2 linked regions of the Diceros bicornis minor genome follow. Each later gene encodes a partner of the first gene's protein in a complex. Links are inferred from orthologs where the notes say so. Each region holds a gene or a part of one and is shown on either strand. Other genes may lie near its edges.

The links.
Region 2: the proteins of IL1A (region 1) and S100A13 are in contact, whole or in part, in an NMR structure (PDB 2L5X), measured with the Homo sapiens proteins. The link is inferred for Diceros bicornis minor from reciprocal best matches to the Homo sapiens genes IL1A and S100A13. Residues at the interface, in NP_000566.3 of Homo sapiens: Asn148, Gln150, Tyr151, Thr194, Ala195, Gln196, Asp197, Leu203, Leu204, Lys205, Glu206, Met207, Gly216, Ser217, Glu218, Thr219, Asn220, His239; in NP_001019381.1 of Homo sapiens: Met1, Arg25, Gln26, Glu27, Gly28, Arg29, Lys30, Asp31, Ser34, Asp68, Ser69, Glu70, Lys72, Phe73.

The regions. Positions count from the first base shown.
Region 1 is NC_080779.1:19,508,922-19,525,282, reverse strand, and holds the start of IL1A (interleukin-1 alpha), read left to right. Parts: upstream 1-9,809; coding exon 9,810-9,856; intron 9,857-10,852; coding exon 10,853-10,901; intron 10,902-11,791; coding exon 11,792-12,011; intron 12,012-13,620; coding exon 13,621-13,794; intron 13,795-14,840; coding exon 14,841-14,962; intron 14,963-16,361. UniProt on the Homo sapiens protein: Cytokine constitutively present intracellularly in nearly all resting non-hematopoietic cells that plays an important role in inflammation and bridges the innate and adaptive immune systems.
Region 2 is NC_080743.1:57,853,397-57,869,338, reverse strand, and holds the start of S100A13 (protein S100-A13), read left to right. Parts: upstream 1-9,989; 5' UTR 9,990-10,106; intron 10,107-10,335; exon of another isoform or gene 10,336-10,384; intron 10,385-10,475; exon of another isoform or gene 10,476-10,870; intron 10,871-11,025; 5' UTR 11,026-11,066; coding exon 11,067-11,219; intron 11,220-15,942. Other genes in the region: CHTOP (chromatin target of PRMT1 protein), read right to left, coding at 442-525, 1,132-1,285, 2,624-2,688; S100A1 (protein S100-A1), read right to left, coding at 5,620-5,763, 6,843-6,983. UniProt on the Homo sapiens protein: Plays a role in the export of proteins that lack a signal peptide and are secreted by an alternative pathway. Binds two calcium ions per subunit. Binds one copper ion. Binding of one copper ion does not interfere with calcium binding.

The sequences.
Region 1 (16,361 bases):
CCCTTGACGTCCAGAACAACACACTCCATGTTTCCTCCCTACCTCCCTGGCTTCTGCTTTTTAGTTGCCCTTACCTGCCCATTCCTGGGTGCACACCCTCTGGCTGGTGGGTGTGCCTCACCACTCCACATCCTCCCCTGGCCCTCTCACCCACTCCAACACTTCCATTGCTAAGGATTCCACATCACTAGTTCTAGCCCATTGTCTCTTCTGTGCTCTAAACTCATACATGCAACTCCCACTGGATTTGCCTCATAGGCTCCTCACAATCCACATCATTTTCTCCAAATCTGCCATCATTTCTCCCAGAAAATAGCGCTTTGGTATCCCTCATTGCTCCTTCCAGAATATGTATAATTCAAATACCTCATCTAAGTCAGTACTTTTCTTTGAGCCATCTATCTTCCTCATGTCCCACATCTAACCAATCACCAAGTTGTGTTGATTCAACCTTCTAAATTTTATTTATTTATTTATTTTTTCCCCCAAAGCCCCAGTAGATAGTTGTATGTCATAGTTGCACATCCTTCCAGCTGCTGCATGTGGGACGCGGCCCCAGCATGGCCAGACAAGAGGTGTGTCGGTGCGCGGCCGGGATCTGAACCCGGGCCGCCAGTAGCGGAGCGCGCACACTCAACTGCCAAGCCACGGGGCTGGCCCATGATTCAACCTTCTAATAACTCAAATACATCCTCCTCTCTGTCTCCACTGCCAATACCCAACTTCAAGCCATCCTCATCTCTCACCTGGATGATTCAATAACCTTCTTCCCACATTTGCTCTCTCCCCTTTAAAATCCATACAGATCTTTTAAAAACATAAGCCTAATTTTGCCACTCCCCTGCTTAAGACACCTCAAAACTGCCTCATGATAAATATAATGTTCTTAACATGTTTATAAGGCTGCCCATGACCTGGCCCTGCCTATCTCTTCAGCCTCATCTCATGTCACTTTGCCCCTCACTCTCTGGGCTTCTGCCACACTGGCCCTTTTTCAGTTTCTCTAATACAACACGGTCCTTCTAGCTTCGGGGCCTATGCACATGCTGCTCCCATTGCCTGAGACATGAATCTCTTTCCCTACATCGACTTGCACCTTCATCTGGCTAAACCCTACTCTTCCTATCCATTATGTTGCCTTATTAGAGACACTCTCTATGACCTTTCAGATTAGATTAGGTTCTCTCCTTTCCCCCACACAGATCTCATAACATCCCTTATTAACCCTTTCTTAATAACTACCACAACTGTGATCATATGTGCAAGATATGGCTTTTCTGCTAGCAGAGATGCTCCATGAGGTTCAGAACCATGTTTGTCTTAATCACTACTCAGTCCTCAGCTCCAAGCATGATCCCCATCTTCTATGAATGAATGCATGAACTGATAACCTTTAATAATTATTCCAGCCTACTATGCCCACTATAGACAAGCTTGCATTCTACTTAGAATTCCTTTAACTATAACCAGACTTTTGGCTAGCCACATTTCACATTTCCTGCAGCAAATCTTTGCTTTCCATTCCATGTCAAGGAGGGGTCTGGACTAGCAGAGTAAAGAAAGGTCTAAATTTCATGGATAGAGAAGGGGAATAAACCCCAAAAGGGGCACAGCCTGAGCAAAGAAATAGCAATGGAAGAATGTTGGACATTTGGGGAAATGAGAAAGGAAACTAACACTAAACTGAACACTCTCACAAACACAATCTAATTTAATCCTTCCAAAACCCTATGAAGTAAGAATTATTAGCCTAGTTTTACAGATGAGGCAACCAAAGCTCTAAAAGTTAAGTAACTTGCCCAAGACCACACAATAGGAGACACAGACATGCAATGCTATGCCTTATGGCTTTACTCGCCCTATTTCCTCAACCTGGAATATCTGTTCTCCACTATTCAAATCTAACTCTTCAAGATATAGCTAAAACGCCGCCTCCATGAAATCTTCCCTAATTCTCTGTATTCACTTCAGTCACTCCCTTCCTATCTGTCTGCTTCTGTCTCTGTTGCAACACTTCTTTCTTCTGCTTGTACTATAGTCATCTGCACAGGTCTTCCCTAAAACTTCTAAGCTTGTTAAGGGCAAATGGAGTTCTTTGCCACCTCTTTCCCCACGGCTTCTGACACAATGCCTTACACGCGATGGAACTGTGAAGGAGGTTGTCAAGCTGGCCTCAGGAAGATTTTGTGGAACTGTGCTCTATAAGAACACCTGCTCCCCCCTGCCCCTGGGTCCTCCTCCTGAGTCCAGGCTCTCTCAGTCTGCTCCTTCTCTCCAAAGGGAGCCACAGTGCCTTTGAGCAACCCAGCAGAGGATATAATGACCTACTGAGAATAGCAGTTAAGACCCCATGGATGTAAGAGTGCAGAAAAGGCGAAGTTAAGATCATAATTTTCCTAGGATGTTTCTCTTTTTTTTATCAAAATACTCTAAAACATGTCCAGCCTTTCAGACTCAGAAACCTAAACTTCCTTTTCTTGAGGGTAATAAAGTGCCCAGATGGTCCTTCATGTATATCAAGCTTTCTAGAAAACAAGACTGAGTCATCATCACTGAACAGATGGGGTAAAAATGCTATTTCCTTCTAATTTACTAGCAACTGTTACATATTTCTGTACTAGAAAAGGAACTTATTTCTATTTATACTCTAAGTGACAAATTAAATTTGCCATTGAAGTAATGAAAAAGCATGTATCTATTTGTGACTCAACTGTATGTGTGACAAAGAAAGATTCTACAAAAGGATAGTAAGGAATAAGTCCAGTGTGGGCCCTATGTAACCAAATATATTTCAAGAGCACAGAGGTGCCATGAAGCAGAACGTGGTCATGTTCAGGGTAGTCATGAAATATAGAACAGACAGCCAGGGCCGGAAGAACTCCAGTAGTCATCCAGTCCAACCTCCTCCCTTTATAGATAAGGAAAGCCCAGAGATGTGCAGGAATTGCCAAAGGTCACACAACTGGTTAAAGTCAGAGCCAGATTCAACTCTCTTGCCTCTCCAACCACACTGTATGCCACACCTGCCACTCCCCGCCCTGTGCCACAATTGCTCTAATCAGGGGCCCATCCTCCCCAGTAGCCAGCAGTTCATTTCAAAATGAGGGAGGAGAAAAGGGGCATAGGACCTTTGCTATCGACTATTTGCATGCATAATAAGTCAGCCTGACATCACAGTGAATGCTTGTATTGATGTTTATAAATAACGCTGTGAAAAACTATAAAGCACCATATAAATGTTAGATTTTTAGTCTAATTATTACATGATTTGTATCCGTGATGTTAACGCAACAGTACCAACTTTATTATTGCCATTGTCACAGCTAATATATCTTTATATTTGGAATTGGAATTTGGCCAAAATGAAGGCATCTTATTAGGTTTTTAATTTGCCTTATTGGAAAATTCATCTCCCAGAGAGTGGAGAATGTGACAAGAGTAATACTAATCTAGAAACAATTCTTTCAAAAGAGGAATCAGTTATGTGAAAGAGGAATTTTGAGATAAAGTGCATGTCATCTTGAAGTTTGTGATAGAAAAGGGAAGAATAGTCATACACAGTAGTAATCAGAATAGGTTAGGTTATACCACAGTAATAAACTTTGAGATCTCAAGGACTTAACACAATTAAAGATCTGTTTCTTACTCATGCAAAGTTTAAAACAGATTGTTCTCGCCTTGTACCTTTGCAGCCACACCTCATCCATTTGTACCCACACCATCTGGACTACGTGACTTCCAAACTTATTGCATCAGAGGAAGTTGGAGATGACAGAGGCACACACCAGCCCTTGATTGCATCAGCCTAGAAATGTAACACATTACGTATCGCTTCCTGTTCACAGTGCATTGGCCAGAACAAACCATGTGTTTCTAATCTAACTGCAAGGGAGACCAGGAAATGAAGACAGATATTTATCAAGTAATCCCACAAATAAGCCAGTGGATATCTAGTGAGCCCGGTCTACCACATATATGTTCCCTAGATTCCAGGAAAGCAAATATCAAAATGCTTAGAGTATCCCATTTGTGTAAAAACAAATCTATATATACCTTGAAAAAAGAAAGACCAAAAGCAAATACACCAAAATAGTAATAGTGAATACCTCTAGTTATTTAATTGTTTGTGGGTTTTATTTTTTCTTTATATTTTTTATATTTCCCTAGCAATATTTAATAAACATATTTTAGAATCTAAAAAAGTAATGCAAAGTTATTTTTTAAATTGAGAAACAAGTTCAGACCACAGATAACTATGACTCCAAGGAGGAAAATGACTCAAAAGGAAAAGGACTTTCTTTAAAATGCACTTCTGATTAGAGAATCACAATTAGCCAGCAAGAAGAAAAGTGAGAGACGGGCACAGACATGACTGTTGCCACACAGGAAGCTCTCTGATGAACTCTGATTTTTAAAGTCTGAGAAAGACAGAAAGAAGGGCACAGAGCCAAGGAAAAAGTCAAAGAGGCAGCACAGTCCTATTAACCACCATCTCAAGAGGAGAGGGAATTTAGAAAGAAAAAAGCACATAAATAGGGGAAAAAAGAGCTAAGGTGAAGACAGGGGATCCCAGCTAAACAGGGATTTGCTGGCTCAACATGAAGCAGCCCCTTCCTGCTGCAGGCTTCCTCCATCCACTCCAAGCCGTCCCTCTGCTCTCCAAGTTCCCAGAGCACTTGCCCAAAGTTTACGCAAAACTGAATGGATAAAGACCTTAGTGGGGTCTACACAAGGCTCTGTCCATCTGGCTCTTGCCTCTCTCCTCATCCTCATCTCCGCACCCCCTCAGTTCCAGCCTCTCTGGGCTCCAGCCTCAATGCCTTACTTTCATTTATCTGACCCCCATGGCCTTTGCTCAGCCTAGAATGTTCCCTCTTCCCTCCCCATTGAACTTCCCACTCCCAGTCTTAAGACTAGCTTCTCTGTTAGACGCCTTCACTACACTTACGTTGTTAGTACTTATCTACTCATTGAGGGGATTATTGATGAACATCTTCACTGTCCGCTTCCAGGACAGCAGCAACCATAGCTGTTTTTGCTCACTGAATGGGGTTGCATCCTTTTTACCTCCTTTTTCACTTATGGATAAGAAGCCATGGGAGTGATTATTTCTTCCTCTTACCCCTAGTTACTGAAGAGCCAGTACCACTAGATAGTAGGATATTTGAACTAGGAATCAAGGAAGAGTGAGTTCTCATTTTCATTCCCACTCTCATATGAACTCTCCATGTGACCTTGGGACCTTAGCACTTCCCGTCTCTGAGTCTGCTTCCTCTTTTATGAGGGAAGAGTTTAATCTAGATAGTGTCTGAAGTGCATCCTTCTCCCACGTGTCGTTCTAGGTCCTTCAATAGACTAATAAGACAAAGCAGAAAAACTAGAAATTAAAAAGAGTAAAGGAAAGGAAGAGTTAAGAAAAAGAGATGGGGCCAGCCCCGTGGCGCGTAGCGGTTAAGTGTGCGCACTCTGCTGCTGGCGGCCCGGGTTTGGATCCCGGGTGTGCACCGACGCACTGCTTGTCAGACCACGCTGTGGTGGCATCCCATATCAAGTTAAGGAAGATGGGCACAGATGTTAGCCCAGGGCCAATCTTCCTCAGCAAAAAGAGGAGGATTGGCATGGATGTTAGCTCAGGGCTGATCTTCCCCCCCCCAAAAAAAAAAAAAAAAGAAAAAGAGATGACCTCGTGAGCTTAGGCTCTGGTGTCTGAATCCCATTCTGGCAATTTGGTGACGTTGCGATCTTGGACAGATTGCTTAATCTCCCTGGGCCTTGACTTCCTCTTCTGTAAAATGTGATAAGAATACCTGCTTCACAGGTTTGATGAGAGGATTAAATGAGATAATAATTAAATGAGAGATTAATAATTAAGTGAGATAACACCTGGAACATGGAAGACTACTTACATGTTAGGTCTTTTCCTCCTTCCCGCTAACTTTCATGGAATTTAAAAGCAGATTATATAATTAAATAGCACCTGGGTTGAGACAAAAGGCTCAATTGTCTCTGCATGTGATGGTTTATGCACACTTTATTCCTCTGAAGATGCTTTCTACCACCTAAAAAGAAATAACTGCATCCCCTGAAAATTCTCAGTGAAGACTTGTGTTTCTCTCTTCACTCAAGCAATCCTGTCAGATCCAACTATATGCAATGATTTTAAAGTTGGTTCCAAAGATGTTCACAGATGTTTCTTTTCTTCATGGTACAGTGGCAAGAGCATGACTAAAGTCCACATCCAGACTCCACTACTGACCATGTACTCAGTTATGTTGATCACCTTCACCCTTGTCCTGTGTGTCACAGAATAAAATGAAATGTCATTGGAGGAGAAGAGGGGGTGGGTGTTTCAAAGCATTTCTTTTTCCATCTTTTTTTTTAAACAAAGAATCCTAGAATCACCGAATGACAGCGTGTTTGAGGCAGGAAAGACCTTTAAGGATGATCTATTTCAGTCCTGTCACTTGGTGTTGGTGGTGATAAGAGACTTGAGTATCTACATGCAGTGGAAAGAGAAGATTGGACTTGGAATCAGAAACCTGAGTTCAAGCGCTGGCTTTGCTAGTTTTGTGACCATCACTTGGTCACTTAACCTCTTCAAGGGTCCTCGGCTACGAAAGGGGATAGCAATCACTACCTCTTGTAGGTAAAGTGAGGAGCCAGTGCGACAGGGCAGGTGAGAGCTCTTAGTGAACTATAAAACAGTTTTCAAATGAAAAACATCACTCTGACTCTTTGGACCCACAACCTTCAAGCTTATAAAGCATATCTACTCACCTACTAAAATATATCATCTCATCTTGCATAACTAATTTTGTCAATCATGACAGAAAAATAATGATGCCTAGCAAAACCTCTGGTACAGAATAAGCGCACAGTCAATTTTTTTCTGAATGATTTAGGTGAAAATGACTATAGAAGAGTTCTTGAGGCTTCCTCAGAGTCAAGAGGTAGGTGCAAGAAGCCACCCAAAGTCCTTGAAACAGGACAGCCCCCAAACACCCTCGGGGATCCAGTAGAACTCTACCTAGCATGTTCCTCTCTCTGTTCCCTAGAGAAAGGTGGTCTGGTGATGAGGCTTACATACAAGGCAACCTTGGTTCACACTCACAGAAAAGTAGGCTCCCCAAAACAAAGCACAGATCTCTCACTCTCTAAACCTCACCCACGCTGTTCTTCCTTTAAAAACCAGTTTCCAAGAAAGTCATGTGAAGAAAAATCTTAGGTGAGACCCCAAACTGAGTTCGCTGTCTAGAAAAAATTCAAACTCTCCTTGAGAAATTCAACCAACCACATTTGGGGAATTCTCTACAACAGAGGAGTGACATAGGCCAGGATGGGTGTTGCCACTAATGGTGGAACCAAGGGTGTTTTCCTGGATTACCAAAGAGGCGCGACATATTCCTCCCAGAAACTAAATATCTTCAGGGTTTCAATGGAGGCCTTCACCTGAAAATATCCTCCCTGTGGAAGTTTTCAAACCAATATTTTCATAAGAACTATATTTTCTTTGGTGAACTAAGGCATTACAATGATGACTATATAGGTTCCCAAGTGACAGAAGCCATCATTAGTGTTGTTATTATTTTTGTTTAGTTGCATCTCCATAGTAGCTCACATTCACAATGTGCTTTGCAATTGTTTGTTGGTAATAATTCTCACACGATCTCTGGGAGGCAGAGGGGGTGACCAGGATTAACATTTCTGTGTTGCCTGAAGGGGAACCACAGATGCAGAGAATTGCCTACCATCACTGTTCATACAAGAATCCACCCTGAGACACCCAAGCTCTGCCCTAATCTGGTCCTCCATTTACACTGCCTATATCCAGGATGGCAGTTATTTCTGTGGTTCTTTTTTATAACTATTGTAACACAAAGTCTAGGGCCAGGAGGAATTGGACCGGGCAATAGAATCAGAACCAGAGATTTTGCACCTAGGATAGACGTTAATGGTCATCTAACCAACCCCACTATTTACAGTTAAACAAGACCAGAAAGAATACTTTACCCAACTCACACTTGACTCCCAGTTCTGAGATTTTTTGCTTTTTTATACCATGTTGTGTTGTGGTGCCTGGTCTTTCTCTCTTTACCGTTTTTTCCCTCCTCTACCCTCTTTTTCCATTCATTTTCTTTATTTAAAATTTATGCAGCTAAAACTCCAACCAGGAAGCCTGAAACAGTTATCTGCTAAGAGTCTGGTGTTCTACCACCTGAACTGGGCTAGCCTCAGGTACCGAAAAAGTGTTTGATGATAACAGCCAGGCAACACTGATGCAGTGTCATTTATGAGAGTCCCTTCCTTTCCCCCAATCTCCATTCTTGAATCCAGCCACTGGCTTCCGGCTGGTGCCTTGCCTATACCTCCCTGAGTCTGCAGCTTTCCTCACACACCTCAGGTTTACCCTAGAGAAGACCAGGGCCACCTTGCTATAACGTGGCCAGGGCTGAGAGATCTCTCCTGAAGCTCTGTCACTCTGTAGGGAATGGGTTGACAGTATTCAGAGGAGAAGGGGATTAAGACTTTTGCGGTTGAATATTACCTTTCTCTCCTCTACCCTGCCCTAACCAGGAGGTTGTCACGCTATACTCAGAGAGATTTATGCCTGTTCAAGCAAACCCCCCTCTTCACAAAAGATGGCTCATCTTCCCTCAGGGGCCACCAAGTATTGTCTGCCAGGGGCTGCCAAGTATTCTATCAATTCATACTCAGCTCTGGGGTGCACTAAACAAATTAAGCCAAAACACAAACTATAGCTCCTAAGCCCCTCTCCAAGTCTAGCCATCCATAATTCTGATTTTAGGACTTCTCCCTTCCTCTCTCACCACATATTTTTAGAAACTTAATAAGTTTCCTGCTCTTCTTCCCTTTTTCTAAGACCACATGTTTATAATTGTTTAGAGCAGAGCAATAAATAAAGGAGCCAAGACAGAAAATACTGGAATCTCTGCAAATAACACTATTATCAAGTATATAATCTGTGATTATTTTGGCCAGTATAAGGTTGAATGAACATAAAAAAATACAAAACAGAATTTTTCCCTGTAAATCCCCCATGACGCACTCGTGGCCACGCCTACTCTAAACATAAAAGGCGTGGAAGCCTGACTCGGGTTAAGTCTCCAGGCACAGACGGAGTCATTTTATTGGCGCTTGAGTCGGCAAAGGTATCATCCTTATCACGTCTTCGGCTTTTAAAATATTTTTTGTTTTTCTCCTTGGCTGTTATCTCTCAAACTGCCTTCTCTGAAGCTAAAGCCTCTTTCTTCCTTTCCTGTCCCTCCTTGGTTTGGTGTGTGAGTTAGAATCACAGTCAGATTTCACAAAGTGATTCTTTCTACTGATGGGGAACTGCGAGGACAGTGAAATTGGTTTCATATGAGGGCATTGGTGGGTGCAGCCGAGCCTGCCCTTGGAGGGAATCTCTACTACCAAAAACTATTAGGAGAAAACTGGAAATTTCCAACTCTGTCTCTCTCTTGCATCTGTGTAAGGCAAATACCGCATTTTTGTGGAGTTTTTTAAAACTTTCATTGAATGCCTACTATGTGTAGAGCATTGAGTTGGGCACATAAGGGATACCAAGATTCTAAAAGAAGTTTTCAAGCTAGTAGAGGAGACAGATATCTATATATGCGAATAATTGAAGGGAGTGAAAAGAAGAATGGGGAAAATGCTGAGCGTGGGCTAAGTCATTCATCAAGTTTCTCCAGAAGCACAAAGCGGAGGTGGTTCCCCTTGCAGGCATCTGGTTTAGAGGCTGGCTGGGCTGACAGCCACTGGTGTTCTCTGTTGCAGAAGTCAAGATGGCCAAAGTCCCTGACCTCTTTGAAGACCTGAACAACTGTTACAGGTAGGAAATAGATTCTATCTCTTGTAATTTAATGAGGGGATCAAGGCACATTAGAATCCAGCTAGGAGTTACAGTGACCGGCATGGGGCCAGACTGGCAGAGGCTATACAGATGTGTCCTACCTCTGAAGTCAGGGCAGGTTCAGCCAAGACCCAGGGGAACTAAGCATCCAGCATGTTAAACTGAGATGACATTGACACAGAGACAGCCGTTTTAGAAAAATTATTTTTAAGGTCTGCTGAGTCCTAGTGAATTTCAACATCTACTTAGACGCAGCCTCAGTTGGGTTCATTCTCTGTAGTGATACATGCTGTGATGGAGAGTAATGGGCTTTAGTGGACTATCGGAGAGAGAAACCATTCTCAGGAAAACTCCTTGATCTCAATCTGGAATAGGAAATGGCTCCACAACAATTTGAGCATGTAAATGCACATTCACAGTCAAACCTCCTTCAGACATAGGAGAAAGGTAAATGAAGAAAAAGTTAAAATTATAGAACACTTTAAACAAACATGGCATTCCCATTACCTATTAGTATACACTAACACAAACTAGGCTATTGAAATGTTACCTGGATAGTTTGCCAAGTATAAATTATTAAATCTGTTTTAGTGAATACATGAAAGAAATGTGTAACATATGATCTATTTGGTTAAAATTAAAATGAGGTGCTTCAAAAGTACTTCTTCTCTCTTGAGGAGCTTAACATTTTTCCCTGAAATTCAATTACAACTCTTCAATTTGTTAGTCAAGCCACGTTTTTATAGATAAAGCACAGGTAAAATTCAAGACCTATCCTGATAATTACTAATTCCAAATTAATGAGGTACAACTTACTGTATATATGTGTATGTATAGAAGTCCTTAATTTTCAAAGATGACAATAATGGCCGTGTGTGTGTGTTACCCAAAGCTAACGTGGTCTTTAAAATACGTTGCCAAGTGACTGTAGTGATATAACAAACAGAATTACATTCTCATCATCTTGTTTGACAGTGAAAATGAAGAATATAGTTCTGAAATTGACCATCTCTCTCTGAATCAGGTAAGCAAATGACTATAATTCTTATGGGACTGCCATTCTTACACAGTATTTTTTCCACCTGAAGAGAACAGCAATGGCTTGAATCCTAGATGCTTTTGTTTTACCGTCACTAGAGATCCAGAGATGTGCATTTCTTCATTATAAGTGAGACCAATTGCCTCTCTGCACTAACAGTTGATGACATTCTTCATGCTCACCCGATTTTCCCAGAACAGAGCAGAACTATCCTGAAACCCCAAGAACTGGAGTCTCCTGGATCAGACTTCATCAGAATGTTAGTTATGCCATCCTGACTCAGCCCCTTCAGGCCACTTCACTAGGGATCTGTCTCCTAAAGTGATATGTTGTGGTCATCCACTCTGACACCAGCACCACAGGTTAGAGATAGCCCTCCAAATGTAATAGCCCATGAAGCTGAGGTGGAGGAAGCCCGCCAATTGAAAGTGAGAAGTCTGCAGCCACTCACCAAGCTGTGTTATTTTGCTAGGAGACCACAAAATAGGCAGTATAAGTACTGCGTTGTGTGTTTTTAGTACTGGCTCTAAAAGCTGTTCCCATAGGAGTATTTCTAAATTATTTGAGCACTGTCAAGTAGATGTTTAACCTCCTGAGGGGGAACTAACTGGAAGGCGGTAGCCTTCCACTCACTAAGATCACTTGTAAACACCACATCTCATTTTTGAGTCTGCCAATGGATGACCAAGAGATCACATCCTTTCAGGAAAATCCTGAAAGGAAGGGGAGGTAGAGGGAAGACTGATGAAACCTGGGTTACCCAAGACCAAAAAGGAGATCCTTCTCATTAAGTCTGTTGGAAAAAACTCCTACTGAAAGGAATCTCATTCTATGGCCACGGACAGCCTCTCAGTTTCCATTTTCCTTCTTCACAGAAATCCTTCTATGATGCAAGCTATGACCCACTTCATGAGGACTGCATGGATAAATTGTCTCTGAGTACCTCTGAAACCTCTAAGACATCCAAGCTGATCTTCAAGGAGAGTGTGGTGCTGGTGGCAGCCAACGGGAAGACTCTGAAGAAGAGACGGTTGAGTCTAAATCATTTCCTCACTGATGGTGACCTGGAAGCCATTGCCAATGATCCAGAAGAAGGTAAGGGGTCAAATGCAATAATATCCTTGTTTTCCATTTTTAAACAAATGGGGACAATAGAGTATATGAGAAAATAAAACCTAGAATGAGAGCAACAAGATGGCAACCAGGTATTACTCTGGTAACTATAAGGAAGGAAAATGGATTTCTATCCTTTCCAGCAGGACGAGAGCAGCAGTGGCCTGAGTCTAGAATACTTGTTCACATGCTCATTTCGTGGCTATATTGTAAAGGTCTTGTAACTTTTAGCCTTTTGGCAGAAAGTAGTTATATACTATGAGTGGATGACCACTTACATGCTATGTTCCTCCACACACTAACTGTGCCTCTTTGAGCAACTTACTTAACCTTGCTGTGCTTCAGTTTCCTCTACTATAAAACGGAGATAATCAGAGCCCCTACTTGTCATGAAGATTAAATGAGTTAATAGCCGCAAGCTTCTGGGCTAGAATAATGCCTGGCACATAGTAAATATCCAATAAATGTTAGTTATTATTGTTGTTATTATTACTATTACTACTACTATCTTTGTTAATACTGCCAACACTACTCATTTATCAATGGCTGCATTATCTCTCACCTTCACAACAACCCTACATTCTCATTTTATATATGAGGAAGCTAAGTTCAGTGAGATAGTAACCTGCCCAAAGTCACATAGTGTGTAAGTGGTAGAGACTCAAACCAAATTCAGTTCCTGCTGACTACAGAAATCATGACTTTTCTCCCACGCCTTCATTTTACAAGCCTCTACATGAAACATAAATCCAATATTGTTAAGATAACAGCTAAAGACTAATACGTGTTCACCTGGAAAATTGGCAAAATACAAGAAAACATAAAAGGGAAAATAAAAATCACTCACACTACCACTCAAGAGTTTACCACTGCCAGCACTATTATACTTTCCTTAAAGTCTTTTCTATATATACACACTCATGAACAAATTTTTTTAACATTATGTGGGTCATACTATATACAGTTTTATATATAGCTTTTTTCACTTAGCAATATATAAAGGGCATTTTAGAGTGCCAATTTTTCATGATTATAAATAATATGACAATGAACACTCATATCAATAAATCTTCATTTGTATCACCATTTATTTCCTTAGAATAGATTCCTAGATGTAGAATTACTCAGAGCCACAAGGATTTGGGAAGATATTGATACATACCACTGTTCAGAAAGGTGGTAGACATTTAGACCTGCACCCTCAGTGACATACATAATTCTTAATGGATTCATTTTTTTTCTCAGAGTGCATTCATTCAAAAATATAGATGAGGAATACTAGGAGTCTTCCTGGTTACTTAGAAACCTCCAAACAACCAAAAATGAGAATGCTGCACAAATAATCTCTTAAAAAAATAAAACTATTGCCTGAGGAGTCAAAGTTTATTAAAAAAACAAATAAATAACCACAGGGATAATCCTAGAACCAATTCTACTGCTGATTGGATGATTTCACTTCTCTCAGTTTCCTCACCTAGATTGGAATATTCTTAATGTCCCTTCCATAGCTACTTTCTATGTTGCATTAGAGCAGATATATCACCTGTGTTTGTACCTAGAAACTAACCTGAGCTTGTGATAACGGTTTTAGAGATCATCAAGCCCCAATCGGTAGCTTACAACTTCCAGAGCAATGTGAAATACCGCTTTATGAGGATCATCAACCACCAATTCATCCTGAATGACACCCTCAATCAAAGTATAATTCGAGATATATCGGGTCAATACCTCATGGCTGCTGCATTAAATAATCTGGACGATGCAGGTAAAGGGACATCTCTGTCACCCTCCCTTCCTTTTATTTCTGTATTTCTTTTAAACTTTCTGCTTTCAAAGAATAAACCTCTCTAGATTCTTGGCTTTGCACTATTCTTCTAGAATAGGATGAAGCACATCACCTCTGGTAAAAATATCAGGCAAGGACAGGGGCTTCAGCCAAATCTAGGAGCTCCACAAGAGAGAAGTGTCCTATCTTTGAGAGCACTAGGTGCAGCATAAAGTAAATGGTATTTGTCTTTCTGCATCTGCCTTATTTCACGTAGTCTAATGCCCTCAAAGTCCATCTGTGTTGTCGCAAACCGCAGGACTTCCTTCTTTCTTGTGGCTGAATAATATTCCATTGCATATATATACCATGTTTTCTTTATTCATCCATTGATGGACACTTAGATTGTTTCCATATCTTGGCTATTGTAAATAAGGCTTTTTTAATGACACTAGAATATTCAATCATGTTACTATGCTTTTGGGTTTGCTCTAAGTAACCTTGTTGCAAATGTGTTTATATATATTATTTTTTTCCTTAGGAGGTTATTTCTTTGGAGCATATCCCAAAAGTGGAACTCCTGGGTTACTAGGCATAAATAACTTTACAGCTTTTATTAAGCATTGTTCTCTAAGGAAAACTGAACTACTTTTCAGTATCATTAGCAACATATGAGTGTATCAGCTTCCCTAAACCCCTCCATTTTACTAATGACCTCACAAATTGCAGGGTCTTATCTCACTAATGTAATTACAAGAAATTCAACAAATATTCAGCCCCCAATCATTCATTCAACACAGAAAATTCTAAAGACATTAACCAAGTAATTACCTGCCTAGTAAATATGGCAGACATTGTGAAGGACACAAAGATGTATAAAATTTCATTCCTAATCTCCAGGTACTTACACCACAGTTGGGGACCTAACTATACAAACACATACACACACACACACACACACACACACACACACAGTAGCTACATAAACACTTGATTTTATACAAATACCATGGATTTACTTTCTTTTTGGCTTTTCTCTTCGCCAGTGAAATTTGACATGGGTGCTTATACATCAGAAGAGGATTCTCAATTTCCCGTGACTCTAAGAATCTCAAAAACTCAACTGTTTGTGAGTGCCCAAAATGAAGACGAACCCGTACTGCTAAAGGTCAGTTGTCTTCAGTCTCCAGCTCAGCTTCATTTACATCCCACATGTTTGTAAATGATCCCAATAGGCAGACATCCCTAGCAGGGTGGCACAGTTCTCTTCTCTTCCTACCACAGTCCCCACCTGCCCACCTGCCCCCCATCCTACTTCTCACCTATCCCCAGAGGCAGTTCTAGCCAGGATCTGTGAGAGAGTAAAATGGAGGTAGCAAGAGTGAATAAAAGGTAAATTGCCTTCCTCTTTCCTTTTCCTTTCCCTGCCTGATCCTATTCACCTCCCATCCCAGGGCATCCACTTATTCCATCTATCTCCGATCTTTACTGACATCTATAATCTGACCTGATAGTAGGCATTAGGACCATGGGGCCTGCCTCCAAGAAACTTGGTCAGCTGAGGTCAGAGAGAATTCATCATCTGCCAAACAGCACCAGGCAAAAAGCTGGCAGCCAAGACTCAAACCCCGGCCTTCTGACTCCAGTGCCTCTCTCTCTCTTCATTGGTACAAGTATTATCGCTCATCTCAGCCCCATCTTCACCACCACCTTCCCCCTCAAACATACAGATACACATACACACGACCACTGCAACCTTAGATGTTTTCACCACTGATAAATAGGTGACTCTTATTCAGTAAATGTATAATCCAAACCTCCCCACTTGCAACTAGGATTTATGTGGATGCATGTGCTTCTCTACCTGGATCAAGTAGAGGAAAGTGATGTAATGTCTACAGAGTAGGGCAGTACCTTCATTCATGAATTCATTCAACAAGCGTTATTTATTGAGAGCCTTCTATTTTTTAAGCATAGTGCCAACAGCTATGTAGACAGTGGTTAGCCAAAATCTCTAGCCTTATAGAACTTAGTCTTCTGGGGGATACAGACAATAGATAAGCCAAACAACCAGCAAAAAGTGCAAGATGCTGTAAAGCAAATGAACAGGGTGCTGAGATAGAGAAAAATGGGAGAGTGCTCTTTAGATATAGTGGCAAGAGCAGAGCTCCCTGTGAGATGAGAGCTGCTGATAGGAGGGAGCATGCCATGCAAGGGGGTGAGTGGTGTGGGCATCCTAAATAGAGGGATCTAAGTACACTCAGCCCTAGAGCTTCAAGAGCTCCAGCTTCAAAGATCAGAAGGAACACTCTAGGAGCTGGGGCACTCTTGAGAAGGAGGAAAGATAAGCAGAAGCAAGTGTTTGCAGATAGCCTTGCATTTGGATTTCATTTGAGATACAATGAAAAGCCATTAAAGGGCTTCAAACAAGGAAGTGTCCTGACTTTACTTATATTTTCTAAAATGGAGAATAGATCAGAAGGAAGGTAATAGAAAAAGCAGAGAGCCCAATTAGAAGGTTATAACAATTAGAAGGTGGGGAGTGGTGAGACAGGTGGAAAGAAGTA
Region 2 (15,942 bases), on another chromosome or scaffold:
AAAAATTCAGCTCCTCAATTGTACTAGTCACATTCTGAGTGCTCAATAGTCACATGCAGCTAGTGACTACTGTATTGGAGAGCAGATACAGAACATTTCGATCACAACAGAAAGTCCTATCGGGACAGTGCTGCTCTAGAGGCTGCTTTCTGCACAGCCTCTATTTAAAGTTTCTTGTTGAAAGGTCCTGTGGAGTGATCTGTCAAGGGACTTATCTTCAGCAATTTTTTAATATTTATTCTTGGAAAATGGTGGTGCCTTTTACTGCTTTCCTGAGTCAGGGATGAATGCAGTCACTCCAAGGCTTAAGGTAGCTGAAGCAGAAGGCCTTGTTTATTTTTGGTCAGTGAGCCCAATGGTTCAGGGTGGGGGTGGGAGGGTGTTATATTTAACTGCTGAATTTATGCACAGCCATGCAGTGCTACCAGTTAAAGTCCTTACAGTTGCATGGCACCGCCCTCCAGACGTCCAGCCACAGCTTGGACATATCCTTCCACAGCCACTGTCCGGACTTGCATATAAAGTCTATGAATAATAAAGAGTAGGTTTTATTTCAGGTCTGAATAGGATTATCTCTTACCGGAAATATGAAAGAGAACCCACTAACTTAAACTAATTACTCAGTGCCCTCGCTCTACTTTACTGACAAAACTTTAGGTGCAGTAGGATTCAAGTCATCTTATTCTTTCTATATTTTAGCACTGAAAACCTTTCACTAAGGCCATTCAGACTCCCTGAACTAAGGGAGAAAGGATAAAATTATTTCCCTAATTTGTAAACCATTTAACAGAGAATAGAAGATTTTTTGAAGATCATGTAAAACAGAAAGCAAAATTACTTTGTGTGAAAAGCCAGTGAATCTACTTTAAGGGCAAAGGACCAGAAAACAAGAGAGAGTGATATTCGCTGATAACACAGAAACAGGCAAACTCCCTAAAAGAGAAAGACAACAAAAAGTTATTTTTTGGTACCTGCCAAAATGGGAATTCTCTGAACTTCTCTTTCCTCCAGAGAAGTTTCAGCTTTTGCCCTGAGCCACCTCGTAATCATCCATCACGTCCTGACAGCCTCAGTGGACTGCCTGACAGAGATCACCGGCTGCTTCTGGAGCGTTAAGATCCATTCTCTCACCTGCTTAAGTTTTAATGCTGCCTGGACAGAGGGTCTATTCTCCATCTGCTGGGCCAGTCTTCTGTTTCTGGCACTGGCTAGCTGCTGTTGTTGCTGCATCGAAGCCCGAATATTCACTGGCATCGGCTGTTTGTTCTTCAGCATATTAGTAAAGCTTCAAGGTCGAACAAAATGGATGTTTAAATAAAAGCTTTATTACAAAACATTTATTGGCATTTTCATGGCCTGCTAGACCAGGAGCTCCAGATCCCACGAACTTTTAAGTAAAGTGGTACACTTAGATCAAGGCTGATGTGGGTTAAAGACTCCTCTGCTTCCACAAACTTGCAAGAATCAGAAACTTAGAAATGCAGCTAAGTGCAGCACATTCAATCAAAAGTGATAACAAGGGCTCAGGTAACGGCTTTTAGAGAGATGGAAGGCATGAAAAACACGCAATAAGCAGATAAGATGACAACAAGAGACAGAAGATGTAGTTTCAAAGACAAAGAAAGAAAGCCAAAACCTTGGGGGACCTGAGGGAGTATTTTAAGGGCAAATATAAGGAAGGACTAGAGCACCTTCAAAGCCCACGGAAATAACACACTCATATATATTATGGGAGTGTATCACATTTTCTTATATATTTGTTCACTTAGTAACATGTGAACAGAGAATTAGTATATCATACCCTAAGAGTTAAGAAGCACATATGCCTCAGAAAAGGCAAAAATAAACACTGGGGAAATCTTTCAGGGGTCTAACATCAACTTAATAAAATCACTGGTCAAAGGTACTGAATGAACAAAGCTCCTGGAGATAGAAACTGCTGTTAAATACCTTAACTTTTCTTAGCCTCAAATGATTACTTTTTCTGACTCCAAATGATTACTTCTGAAAAAGTGTGATTCGTTCAATCATTTAAGAGCTTGTGAAGACATTCTTCTATTATTCCTGTCAAGGTAAGTTTAATGGAATGGAAGAGAAGAACACTTAATTGTGAAAGAATCCAAAACAAAAACAAACTTAAAGCAGAATGGAAAGAAAGTGAAATGGAGCAAAGCAAGTGCCTCTTACAAGGCCCAAGAATGACATTCCAGGGCCTTTGGACATATTCATAGCTTGCTACCTGCCTCTTACAGGCCAGACACAACACTGCTGGCCTTGGACTGGGCAGCAAGCCTACTGCAGCCAGGGTACCATGCTACCGAGCTGCACCACCCCTGTATCAACGTAAAAAAATGTGAAGAAAAGGGAGGGTGTGAGAAGTCTTTTTAAAATACATCCCACCAGATAAATATCTCAGACAGCTTAACATAAAAATCTACTGATGAGGGGTTTTGAAACAACCGCCCAATCTGTTTTGTGTACCACATAAGATGCAACTAAGAACAGAGGTCTGTAGCCTTCTGTTGGTATTTAGTTTAAAACCGGTTTTTGTGCAGTGGACCCCAAGGCCAATTTAAGTAATGTTTTCTTATGAACGAGCTGAAGTTGCCGTTGGCTGCCTCACCGCTCATTTAGAGACATCTTGGTGGTGCTTTTTAGCACAACTTTCGGCGCTGACTGTGCAGCCATCTTCAAATCCCGAGAATCTACAAAAGGACAATGGGCACAAAGAGCAAATCAGAATAACAACCACCTCATTTCTGCTAGGGCCAAAGGCCCACACTCACAATGAATGAAAAGGCTTGTATCAATGACTACTGAAGATCACACTCGAACTCATTTTGGGTGCTTAAATTTATAAGACAGTTACCGCAAACTAACAAACTTCAAGGCCACAGGACAGAAAATATGTGCCAAAGCCTCCAAAATGGCAGCCTTAGACCTAGCTAAAGGAAGTATAAGAGTTTGGCTTTTAATCTAGAGCAGTGCTTCTCAACCCTGCCTGCAAGGAGCTTTAAAAAAAAGATACAGGGCCACCCGTGGCTTAGCGGTTAAGTGCGTGCGCTCCACTACCAGCAGCCCGGGGTTCGGATCCCCACGCACCGCTTTTCCGGCCACGCTGAGGCCATGTCCCACACATACAGCAACTAGAAGGATGTGCAACTATGACATACAACTATGCACTGAGGCTTTGGGGAAAATAAAAGGAGAAGGATTGGCAATAGATGTTAGCTCAGAGCCGGTCTTCCTCAGCAAAAAGAGGAGGATTAGCACAGATGTTAGCTCAGCTCAGGGCTGATCTTCCACACACACACACACACACACACAAAATACAGAAGCCTGGCCTCAAACCAATTAAACCACAGTCTCTGGTGGTGAGGTCTGCGGATCAGCAACTGGAAAGAAAAAAAAAAAGCGGAATTCCTAGGCGCTTCTCACGTGCAGCCAAATTGAGAACCACTCGTCTAGAAAGATGATACAGGCATAACTAGTTTCAACCTGGCTTTCGACTCCCAAGTAGGGCCTTAGCAAGGGACTAGGGACCCGGGGGAGGGAGTAGGAAAGGTTTCCTAAAGGGGCATTCACCTGGGAGTTAGCTCCCAGAGCGCGCTCTATAAAATGTAACCCTACCGCCCCCATTACTTCCCAACCTTCCCTGAATCCTGTTGTCCTCATTTCATCTCCCTGCCATCTCAAAGCCCTGTCAACACGGCCAAGTTTGCTCCATCTTCCTTCCCAGCCCTATCAAACGCCAACCTTTTCCCTCAGCCCCGCCACCAGTCTCCAGCGCGGGCGCTCCCCCGCCTCCGCGCAGGGGCTCCGCCCCCTCCCCGGGCCCCCGCACTCCGACACCCTATCTGCTTCCACATGCCGTCGCCTTCCGTGCCGCGTCCGCCGGCCCCTTCCGCTCCCCAAGACTTCTCCCCTCCTTCTCACCACAAACACGTACCGAAGGAAACAGACGCCAGTGCTCCTCCCGGGGCTGCCACCACGGCTGCGGCGGGCGGGCCGGGGGCCGGCCGAACCTGAGCAGACGGTGGAGGGGCTCGGCTTCACTTGTGGGCGGTTGGTCAGGTGTGTAAGCGGTAGACTGCTAAGTTAGTTCGTTGTTGCTGGCTGGCTGTCTGGTCGGCCGGTCCGTCTGCTCGCCCGGCCTGCCCTTGCCTGCCTTTCGTCGGTGCCACCACAGCCGCTGCCGCCAACTCCCGCTCGTTGTCCAAAACAAAATGGCCGCCACGCCCAGTGCGGAGTGGGACCGGCTAAAATGGCGCCGACGCAATTACGTCAGGCGTCCGGTCCGCACACGACTAGGGAGCGGGAAGATTTGTGCTACGCCTGCGCAGAGATGGGGGCGGAGCCCTAGTGAGAAGGCGGGGCTTTAGCAAAGGCCCTGTCTGAGGTACACCCCGTGCCCCGCCCACAAAGGGGCGTGGCCAATGGCCTGCCCTTGGGTCTTGCGAAGGGTTCGCTTTCGAGGCAGGGTTGTTCGAGATCTGGGCGGCTCAGAGCGGATTTGGTCCTGATGAAAAAGGTTTACGTGTTTCTTCACTCTCTTTCCGGTTCCCCAAGCCAAGGCAGACCGTCTAAAATTCTTTACGCGGGGCTTTCCTCGGTCTCTTCCTTACCACCGGGCCGAGTAATGAGCGCTGGCTCTCCTCTCGTCATCATTCGCCCTGTTCAGAGTTGTGGAGTGTCATAAACGGCCCAGCCACAGCCTGGGGCCGGTGCTGGGAGCACACGTCTACTGGAGCCTGTGCCAGTCACCACACGCCCTCCGTATTTTCCTCTTCACTTCCCTCCCCAAGTTGGCCTGAATATTGTTAAATCCTTATTTGGGGGGGACCTTTGTGTGCCTGCATCCCCTTGCATGTCCTCCCTCCCCATCTGCCATCCATGCTGAATTTTGATGCAGACCTATACAGGATTTTTCTTATGCCTGGGTGCACAATAAAATGCTCAAATGTTTGAAGAATGAGTAAATCAGCACATCTTCGACCCTTCCTCCCCCCCATACAGGCACTTCAGGATCCTTTCATTTTCTTTCCTAGCATTTTCCTGTGTGTGTTTAATGGTCTAGCATCCTTCCACCTTACTTTACCTAGGTGAGGGTAATGGTCGCGTTTTGTTCACTGCTGTATCCCCAGTTCCTACACAATGTCTAGTACATGGTAGGTCCTCAGGAACTATTCTTTCAAGGTTAAAGGGAAATTCTTTCTTTTTCTGTCTTATAGCTGAGAAGCTGACATCTCCTGTACTTCCAGCTGGAACTTTGAACCCCTACCTTCCTGGGCCATGAGCATTCCTCAAGTAGGAAGGTGTAATGGTCCCTTGATCTCTCTCCAAATAAGACCCCCCCCCCCCAATAAGGCAAGCTGGGATTGAGCAGCCTTCACTTCCCCACTCACTTGCAGACCCCATAGGAGACAGACAGCAGCTGGTGAGAGAGGAGCCTTTAATGAAACATGAGTTGCAGGCCTGGCCCACTACTCTTGCGCCCTTGTTGGAGGAGGGGCAAGGGTGGGAGTGTGGGGAGGGGAAAGTGGGGTGAGGGGGAAGCAGGGCAAAGGGGCAGGTATGGCAGGGTGGAGGGGAAGGGCGCTGCCCACTGGGGCTGTCTGCTCAACTGTTCTCCCAGAAGAAGTTGTTACAGGCCACTGTGAGGGCAGCCACCAGCACCACATACTCCTGGAAGTCCACCTCCCCATCTCCATTCTCGTCTAGCTCCTTCATCACCTTGTCCACGGCATCCGTATCCTTCTGGGCCTGTGGAGGGAAGAGATGGAGAGGTAGGTGTATAGGGAGATGAATAGCACTGAGTCAGGGGCAAGGGAGGTGGCTGATTGGGGAGAAGGAGGCAGAGATGAACAAGAGGGACTAATTATGGGACTCTTCTGCTCCCCTCCTCAAAACTAACAAAACACATGTGGCCTCCTGTTGCCTACAGAATAAGCTCCTTAACAAGGCAGAGTAACAATAACAACGTCAAGTACCGTATGTTGAGTGCCTACAATGCCACAAGCACTACACTAGGAGCTTTACAAGCATTGTCTAATTTAATTCTAACACAAATAGTATGAAGTAGGTTTCATTATTCCCATTCTAGAGAAGAAACAAATTGACAGTTGGTGGTTAAATGATGTGCCCAAAGTCACACAGCTAGAAAGTGGCAGGGCCAGAATTTGAACCCACGTCTAATAAAACCTCAAAGCTGGTACACTTTCTATTGGCTTCTCCTTTACTATATATAGCATGCTGCATATTCTTCTTTCTCCTATGCTTTTGTTCATGCAGTTACTTCCTCCTAAAATACCTACATTTACCTTAATAACCTTGCGATGGAAATCCATAGCTCAAGTGCCACCTCTTTGGAGAAGCTGTCCTACTTTAGTCAGGTTAATATTCTCCCATAAGCCTTTCTGGCACTTCTGTTCAGGCTTTGCGTACTTCCTGAGTGGCTGGCCCAAGGCTTCAGAGGGAGGAAGGTCTCACTGCCTCTGAGCTTCCTGTCAGCAGACTGGGGGCCTCTTTTGGTCCTTCAACTCTGTTCTTTCCTGAATATGTCACTTCCTGGTGTTCATGGTTTACTTCCAAGTGTCAGTCTTTCCCTTCTAGACTGTGAGCCTTGTTATCGATGCATCTACATAGAGTCTAGCACTTTTAACAGGTGACCAATAAATCGGCATTTTGACTTAGGGGAGCCTGGAAAAACCCAGGAGAGAAGCCTGGGAGAGGAAGGAGATGGTTGGTCTGAGCTGGGGTGGGGTGGGGAGATGGCAGAGAGGTGCCCACTCTGTTCCCCCACCCCTTGCCCATTCCACCCCATACCCCCACTCTGTGCTCACGTCCAGGAAGCCAGAGAGCTCGGTCTGCAGCAGCTCTTTCAGCTCCTTCTTGCTCAGCTTGTACTTGTCCCCCTCCTTGCCCGAGTGGGCGTGGAACACATTGATGAGAGTCTCCATCGCCGTCTCCAGCTCAGAGCCCATTGCGCAGCTCACCTACCCACCCCCACCATGGAAGTGAGCTGAGGACCAAGCTCAGGGTATCTGTGGTCCAGTAGAGGGGAGCCCTTAGCCATGGCCCTGGTCCCATAGCTCGAATAGCCATGAGATCAGAGCTCCACTGAAATTTATCCTTCACTGAGATTTTACGATGTGGGAGAACCCAACAGACCTAAATCCAGACCTGTATTCTGTGTCCCTCAATCCATACCCCAGCAAGAGGGAGTCAGGGTTTGGGGCATGGAGGTAGAGCAGCTGGAGATGGGCTGGCTCTGGAGGCCTGCAGAGGAGTCTGCAGTGGCTCTTGGCTGCCTGGGCAGACACTGAGGAGGGTGGGGCAGGCAGGCGGGGGTGGTCACAGGACCTGGCCAGGCTTCCTCTGGCTCTGTTATTATGCTGGACCTTGCCTGCCTAGCACAGCCAAGCTCTGCTGTTGGCAGTGATGGCTGGGCTCCCCTTTATAGCCTTGTCTCTTTTGCCCATCCCTAGCAAGGAGTCAGTCTGGTGCCCTCGGTCAGCCTGATGGAGAGGGTGGCAGCCTGAGTGTCTGGCCCCAGGTTTCATGAGGACGGGGGTGGGGCGGGTCTCACTGCCTCTGAACTTCGTGTCAGCAGACTGGGGGCCTCTTTTGGTCCTTCAAGTCTGTTCTCTCCTGAACATGTTACGTTGGCTTCCCTGGGGTTCACCTCTACTACTTCTAGTTTTGTTCCTTTTACTTCTCTGCAGAATCAGCCCTTCCATCGGGTGGTGGTGGGAAGGGAGAGAGGAATGTCTGAGCCTTTTCCCTGGAGTCAGGGCTCCCAGGAAGGGGGAGAGGAATCCTGTGGGACTTGTCCCTGCTGCTGGCCACTCCCACCCCCAGCCTGACCTAATTGATGTGGGGACAGTGGCAGCAGGGAGAATGGGCTAAAATGTATTGAGGGAGATAAAGGGCTGAGTGCACGGGTCCTCTGAGTTCAAGGGGCTGCGAGAGAAGAGAAAAATGGAAGGGTCTGTTGAGGAGGAGGGACTGCCAAGCAGGGGCCTCTTTGCCTTGGCCTTGGGACAATCAGCCCCTCCATGGTCTCAGGGGGCAGCTCAGGTGTCTCAGATCAGGTGTCCCCATCCTTCCCCAGGCCTGATGGGCTGGACAATGGGCCCTGATCAGATGACATCCCAGCTCTTCAATGGGGCCCTTGTGAGTGTCACCTGAACTCCGGATATGAGAAGCAGTTGTCACAGAGACATGGGGGAGATGGAACCCAAGCTGGGCTGATGGCGGGGATAAGGGGGGTATGTGAAGGAGGGGTGCTGGTGGCTAAGTTATCGGCCCCATCCAGGATGGGCACCTCAAGGTTGCCTGGAGCCCTTGAGCAGCCTGGGATTTTGTGTAGGGGCCATTCTGAAAGGACTTGGGCAGGGAGGGGACAGATGGGAAAGCAAAGAGGAAAGAATTGAGGGGAAGAAGAATCTGGAGGTCTGGGCCAAGGAAGAGGAGGAGGAGAAAGGGGACTCACGTGAAGGGAGGGTTGGGGTTGGGTACAGTATCCTAGTGCCCCCTCTTCCTGATATCACACGGTCCATGCTCTGCCCTCCCCCCCCAGACTTCCCTGGAACCTGAGCTCTTGGCAAGGCTGGGTGGGGGTGGCAGAGAGACCGAGGCTGAAGCAGGGGTGGGCAGAAGCAGCTGTTCCATCTGCTTTCTTATTCTTACCCCACTGGAAGTGAGGCGAGGGCTGGGTCCCCTGCCAGCCTCAGGGAGATTGAGGGAACCTTGGGAGGACACTTGAGGGCTCTGTGGTAGAAGGGCCTGGTCTCCTGGAAGCTTGGTGGCTGGGTTCCCCAATGGCTTCCTTATTCACTGAGCTCCCAGATCTCCCTCTGACCTTCACTTGCCTGCCTTCATCACCCTCCAAACCCTGTCTCCCTCAAATCCCAAACCGCAGTCACCAGCATACTTTCCAGTCCCTCAGTGCACCACGATGCCATTGTCCCCAGACTCTTGGAGCCCCGCTGAAGTCCCCTTTCCCCCAAGCTGGCCAGGGCAGGATGGGGCAGAATACTCACTGTCAGCCTGGGCCTGAGGTGGGAGCAGGTTCTGGACAGACAGCTGAAGCTGCAAATGTGGCTCCCGGAGCTGTGTGGGGAGACCTGTCTTCAGCCTGCCTTCCCCCACTGACCCCCCCTCCCCACCGGCTCCACCCCTTCACAGACGGACACCCAGTGGGGCAAGGGGCCAGGAGAGGACAGAGGCGCCCTCTGTCTCCTGGGCTGGAACAGGCTGCCCTGTGTCCTCTTCTTTAGCCTCTGTTGCCTTCCCCCACTGCTGGGCCTCAACAGGCAGGGCCCAGGAGGAAGGGAGGTGGGAAAAGTCCTGGGAGGGACACTGAGAGGCCTGCCTGCCACCCCCTGCGGTACTGGCTGTGGCTGCTAGGCAGGGAACAGGAGGAGCCCGCTGAGGGGTCTTAGTGAGGGGTCCTCTCTGAATAATTTAGTCTTGGGAGTCTCCCTGAGGAGTTTCAGTCTGAGACCCCACTGAGGTATTTCAATCCAAGGTCTCCTCTACTGGGGTCTCAGCCTGGATCCCCCTCTGTTTGTGGAGTCAGAGCCTGGGATCCTCTGAGGGGGTCTTGGGCTGCAGGGTCCTTTGCGGGATCTCATTCTGAGGGGTCCTGTGTGGTGTTTCTTGGATTGCTCTCAGTGCTGCGCTCCCTCAGTTGGTTCTTTCCATCTGCAGTCGCCCCCCTCCCGGCAACAGACACACTCCCGATTAGACGCAGGTGTGGTGGGGCAGCAGGCTCCCTGTACGAGAAGGGATGGGACCCTAGGACACCAGCTGAGTGGGATCTGTCCAGGCAGCTCCGGGCAGCTCCAGGCAGGGCCGCCCCTCCACCAAGTGGGGGCGCGCGTGGGCCGGGTTGGGGGGCCAGGGTTCAAGGCCTGATTGCTGGGGTGGGGTGAGGGGGGTGGTGGTGGCGAGAAGCGTGATTGGGCGGTCTGCTCTCTTCAGAATCAACCACGGAAACGCGACACCTCCGGGCTTGGGAGCGGCTGTCTCCTCCCGCCCGAGGGGCTTATAAACCTCAGCCCTACGGCTCCTGCTCGCGTGCACCCCGGCTCCTTGCCCCGGTGAGTCGCATCCCCCTAACCCTGGAGGGGCCTGCGGAGCCTTTTTTCTCCCTGGTCTCCCGCGTCCCTCTCCCGGAGCCCGCTCAGACAGGGATTCAGGAAGTGGCTTTGGGAGATCAAGTCCAGAGGTGGGGGCGGGGGGGTGGGAAAGGGAGGGATGAGGGGGCGTGTCCCCTTCCTCCAGCCGTCCCCGCCCCCAGGGCTGTGAGGGGCGGTACCAAGCCCTTACTGGGCGCGGGCAGTCAGCCGAGTCCCATCCAGGACCCGTGTCGCCGGGAAATAGGGGTGGGAGGGTCTGTAGGGTCCTGGGCTCGGCTCTCTGCCCAGCTGCCCCTGAGGGAGATGGGGGCGGGCAGCAGAGGCCGGGGCTGTCAAGACTGAGCCAACCCTGACCGCAGCTGGGCAGTGGCCAGACCCTGGGCTTCTCTGCTGGGAAGAGCGGCCAGAACGTGTGTGGGCGGGTGGAGTGCCGGCGGGTGGAGACCCAGGTCCCTACACAAACAAGCTTTGGAGACAAACAACCTCATGACCCTTTGAGGCTGGGTGAGACTCCAAGAAAGGGCCCTTGGGACTGAACTACACAGAGGGGCCAGGAGACTGAGAAGACTCCAAAGGGGGACCCTGGCCTCCTGCCAGACAGAGGAGTCTCCACTGAGAGGCCACCACAGAAGGGTCCCTAAGACACAAACACTTCAAAAGGACCCCCAGACAGTGAGACCTAGACAGGAAGGGGTTTCTGGAAGTGAATACCTGGGTGCACTGAGGTACTGTTGCCTGGTTCCCTGCCCCAAGCTCCATCCTTGTCCCCTCCCTCCTTCCCCTAATGCCTCCTCCAGGCAGAGGCCTGAGGTGGCAATGCCAGGGCAGGGGCACTCTGGCCTATCCTGACTCTCTCTCTCTCTCCTTTCCCCTCCTTCAGGTCAGCCCTGTGAGGACATCAGCTCCAGCCCCGGGGTCCTAATGGCAGCTGAGCCACTGACTGAGCTGGAGGCGGCCATCGAGACAGTGGTCACCACCTTCTTCACCTTTGCAGGGCGGGAGGGCCGGAAGGGCAGTCTCAGCATCAATGAGTTTAAGGAACTGGTCACTCAGCAGTTGCCTCACCTGCTCAAGGTAAGTGGGGGTCTCTGGGCCTGAGATTTTGGGAGACAGTGGCTGTGGGACACTGTGTATGTGAGATGGTATTGCTGGGCACGATAATGTGAGCACAGGTGTGTTGTGGAGATGGATGTGTGTGACTATTCGTAAATGGTTCTGGGTGTTTTTGCCGGGGGTGTGTGTGTGTGTAACGAGGTAACACTGTGTTTGTGTGAGTGAGTGTGTTGTTGAGCTTTGTGCTTCCATCAGACAATGCTGTTGGGTTCTTGTGTCTGCTCTGTGCCTCTCTGGTCTCATTTCCGCAACACAGGACTGGACCCAGAGCTGGCTTTCAGGAGATTCATAGAACATCAGAAGGAGGTCAAGAGAAAACATGGTCCAAACTCCTCACTTCTTATATATGGAAACTAAGGCCCAGCTATGGGAAGGGGTTTGTCAAAAATAAAATGCAGCCAAATTCATAGAGTCATAGAATCTCAGGGTATGAGGGAGATGTAAGTAATCTGTGATTACTTCCCACCCCCTCTGGGAATCCCCTCAATAATGCGCCTGACAAGGTCATTCCTTTTCTCCTACTCACAGGATGGAGTAGGGATTTTTTTTTGTGAGGAAGATCAACCCAGAGCTAACCTCTGCCAATCCTCCTCTTTTTGTTGAAGAAGACTGGCCCTGGGCTAACATCTGTGCCGGTCTTCCTCTACTTTATATGGGACACCGCCACAGCATGGCTTAACAAGCAGTGCGTCGGTGTGCGCCCAGGATCTGAATCCCGGGCCGCCGCAGGAGAGCGCACAGCGCACTTAACCGCTATGCCATCAGGACGGCCCTGGAGTAGGGATTTAAATTGCATTCACTCTGGGTTGGCACATCATCCGAGGCTGTTAACAGTTTCTTTTACATCCTTTCTGAAAATTCACAGGCAAATAAAAATGTGTGAACATGGATTTAAAGAAAAACAGAGGGGCCCGCCCCGTGGCCTGTCGGTTAAGTGTGCGTGGTCCGTTGCTGGCAGCTCCGGTTCGGATCCCGGGCGCGCACCGATGCACTGCTTGTCAGGCCATGCTGTGGCGGCGTCCCATATAAAGTGGAGGAAGATGGGCACGGATGTTAGCCCAGGCCCATCTTCCTCACCAAAAAGAGGAGGATTGGCATGGATGTTAGCTCAGGGCTGATCTTCCTCAAAAAAAAAAAAAAGAAAAACACAAATGAATCTCTGAAGCTCATAGTTGATCATCTGAAAAGTCCACTGCATCCTTAGACTTCTCGGACTTTTCCCTTCCTCTTCTCGCTGAAGGTACAGAATTCCCTGTAGCCTTGTCAAATAGTGACTTGTTTTTCTTCCAAATCCAGCTCTCTCTGGGCTTGGAAATTCAGGAAGTAGCCTCTTTGCTTTTCATTGCTGCTCCCAGATCTTAGTTTCTTCTTCCTAAGATGCCCAGCTTCTTGGAAGCTAGTATGCCGCCTGCCACCTTTCTTGTTGCATTCCTTATAGCTCTTCAGCTCCTGGCTTACTGTTTTTTGTTTTTTTTTTTTTTTGCTGAGGAAGAGTCACCCTGAACTAACATCCACTGCCAATCTTCCTCTTTTTGTATGTGAGCTGCTGCCACAGCGTGGCCACTGACAGATGAGTGGTGTAGGTCCGTGCCTGGGGCTGCTGTAGCAGAGTGTGCTGAACTTAACCACTAGGCCATGGGGGCTGGCCCATGGCTTAATGTTTTTCTTCTCATCACTGCTACTGTTGTTTTCGTCAGTATCCACACAGACAACTCATTCAACACCCTGGCCTTTCAATTTCTTGAACTCCTCACTTCCAAAGATTCTATCCACTTGCATCTCAGCATCCTACTCCTCTCTTCATGCTTTAGATCTTGTCATTACCAAAATAACGCACCACCTCCAAAATTGCGATTTCAAGCTTCCCTGTCTGTGTCTACTACCTCCTGTCATTTCAGTTCTATTCCTCTATCTAGTTCCTCCACTTCAGCATTTCCTTGACTCCACTGGGACCGTCAGTCTCTTGACCACTTTTTCATCCTCCATCATCATCCCTCATGTCCTTATTTCCCTTCTTACGCAGCTGGGTTCTTTTTTTTTTTTTGGGAGGAAGATCAGCCCTGAGCTAACATCCATGCTAATCCTCCTCTTTTTGCTGAGGAAGACTGGCTCTGCGCTAACATCTATTGCCAATCCTCCTCCTTTTTTTCCCCAAAGTCCCAGTAGATAGTTGATTGTCATAGTTGCACATCCTTCTAGTTGCTGTATGTGGGATGTGGCTGCAGCGTGGCCGGAGAAGTGGTGTGTCGGTGCACGCCCAGGATCCGAACCCGGGCTGCCAGTAGCGGAGCACGTGCGCTTAACCGCTAAGCCACGGGGCTAGCCCCTCAGCTGGGTTCTAAGGGTCATCATGTAGTCACACCCTCAGCTTCCTTGATTCTGTTTCTCTCTGTCCTATTTGTTTTTTTTTTTCAATGTTTTATTTATTTATTTTTTTTCCCCCAAAGCCCCAGTAGATAGCTGTATGTCATAGATGCAAATCCTTCTAGTTGCTGTACGTGGGACGCGGCCTCAGCATGGCCTGAGAAGCGGTGCGTCGGTGCGCGCCCGGGATCCGAACCCGGGCCGCCAGCAGCGGAGCGCGCGCACTTAACCGCTAAGCCACGGGGCTGGCCCTCTCTGTCCTATTTGTTAGGTGAAATCCCAACCCAGGTTAAATCCAACATTTCACCTCCATGAACTTGCTGGTTAAATTCACCCTTCTGCTTCTGCACTCCTATAGCTGAATCTGGCTGGAGAAAAATGCTGACTTGCCATGTTGACTTGTCTCACTTTAAATATATAACCACAAACCCCAAGGGGACGCTTGGCAATGCCTCGCAATTCTGCTGCATTTTCCTAGCTGATTCGGTTGCTAGCTCTTTCAGATGATTATTTCACACCTTTTCCTTTCTCCTCAGACTCCAGTCCCTCTTTCCACTTCTCTGTCTCACTGAGAAATTTTCTCACTGAGAAAATAAGAACAATCAGGAAACTTCTATGTGCTCCCTCCACCTAAACCTACCAACCAGTCAGCACATACCCTGCCTTCCTTCCCGTCACATGAATGATGTGTCTCTGCTCCTAAGGCCAGCCCCTCCTCTCATACCCTGGATCCCATTCCTTCTCACCTACTTAAAGACTTTACTCTTTCAGGGCTGGCCTCGTGGTGTAGCAGTTCAGTGCTCGCGCTCTGCTGCTGGCGGCCCTGGCCCTGGCCCGGATCCCGGGTGCGCACCGATGCACCGCTTGTCAGGCCATGCTGTGGCGGCGTCCCATATAATGGTGGAGGAAGATGGGCACAGATGTTAGCCCAGGGCCAGTCTTCCTCAGCAAAAAGAGAAGGATTGGGATGGATGTTAGCTTGGGGCTGATCTTCCTTACAGGTAAAAAAAAAAAAAAAAAAAGACTACTCTTTCAAATCTTTCCTCTCTCTCTTGCATCGTCAAATTTTCCCTCCCTACTAGATTGTTCTGATCAGTTTACAAATATGCTGTAATGTCTTCTATCTTAAAAAAAAAAAGAAAACCTCCCTTTACCCTACAACTCCTTCCAGCTATGCCTTCCATCTCTGCTCCCCTTTATAGCAAAACTCCTCAAAAGCAATGAGAGTTATTTATACTTACTGTCTCCACTTTTCCTGCCCAGGTCCAGAATGCTCATCCCCCAGGTATTTGCTAGGCCTATGCCTCAAGTAACTCACATTTCTGCTCAAATGGCAAATCCACAGCATGGCCTTCCCTCACCACTGAATACAAAGGTCACCTCCCTTGTGTTCTAGTCCTTTACCCTGCTTTATTTTCTTTCAGAACACTTCCATCACAACTTGACCTCCATTATGTACTTGTGTATTACTAAGAATGTAAGTCCCATGGGAAAAGGAACCTGCTCACTGTTTTATCTCCAGCACCTAGAGCAGTGTCTGACTCCTAGTAGATGTTCGGTAAAATATTGAATGAGTGAGTAGATGGTAAAAAAGTAAAAAATAAAAATTGTTGAGTGAGTGAGTAAATAATTGCATCTTACCTACTGTGCTACAAATAGTTTTTTAACAATGTAACAGTGCATATAGGATATTTTCCCATTTTTAAAAAATGATGCACTGTATTCCATTATGTATGTTAACCCAAATTATGTAACCAATCCTCTGTTGATAGACATTTCTCTTGTGTCCATTTTTTTCCCTTTTGCAAACATCCTTCTTTATATATCTTTAAATACTTAAGGGAAAATATCAACATAGGGGAAATGTCTAGCAGTAGAAATATTAGGTCAAAAGGCTTGTTTGTTCTTCTTTTTTTTTTTTTTTTGTGAGGAAGATTAGCCCTGAGCTAACATCCAATGCCAATCCTCCTCTTTTTTTGCTGAGAAAGATTGGCCCCGGGCTAACATCCATGCCCATCTTCCTCTACTCTATATGGGACGCCACCACAGCATGGCTTGACAAACAGTGCGTTGGTCCACACCCTGGATCCGAACCCGAGACCTGTGGGCCGCTGAAGCGGAGCACGGGAACTCAACCGCTGTGCTTCCGGGCTTGCCCCAGCATGTTTGTTCTTAATTTTTATAGTTATTACTGATTTGCCTCCCAGCAAAATTGTACCAGTTTTCATGGCCACCAACAGTGCATACGAATGCCTGTTTCCCATGTCCTTGCCCAAACTGGTTCTTACCAAGTTTTTAATTTTTGCCAATCTAATATGTG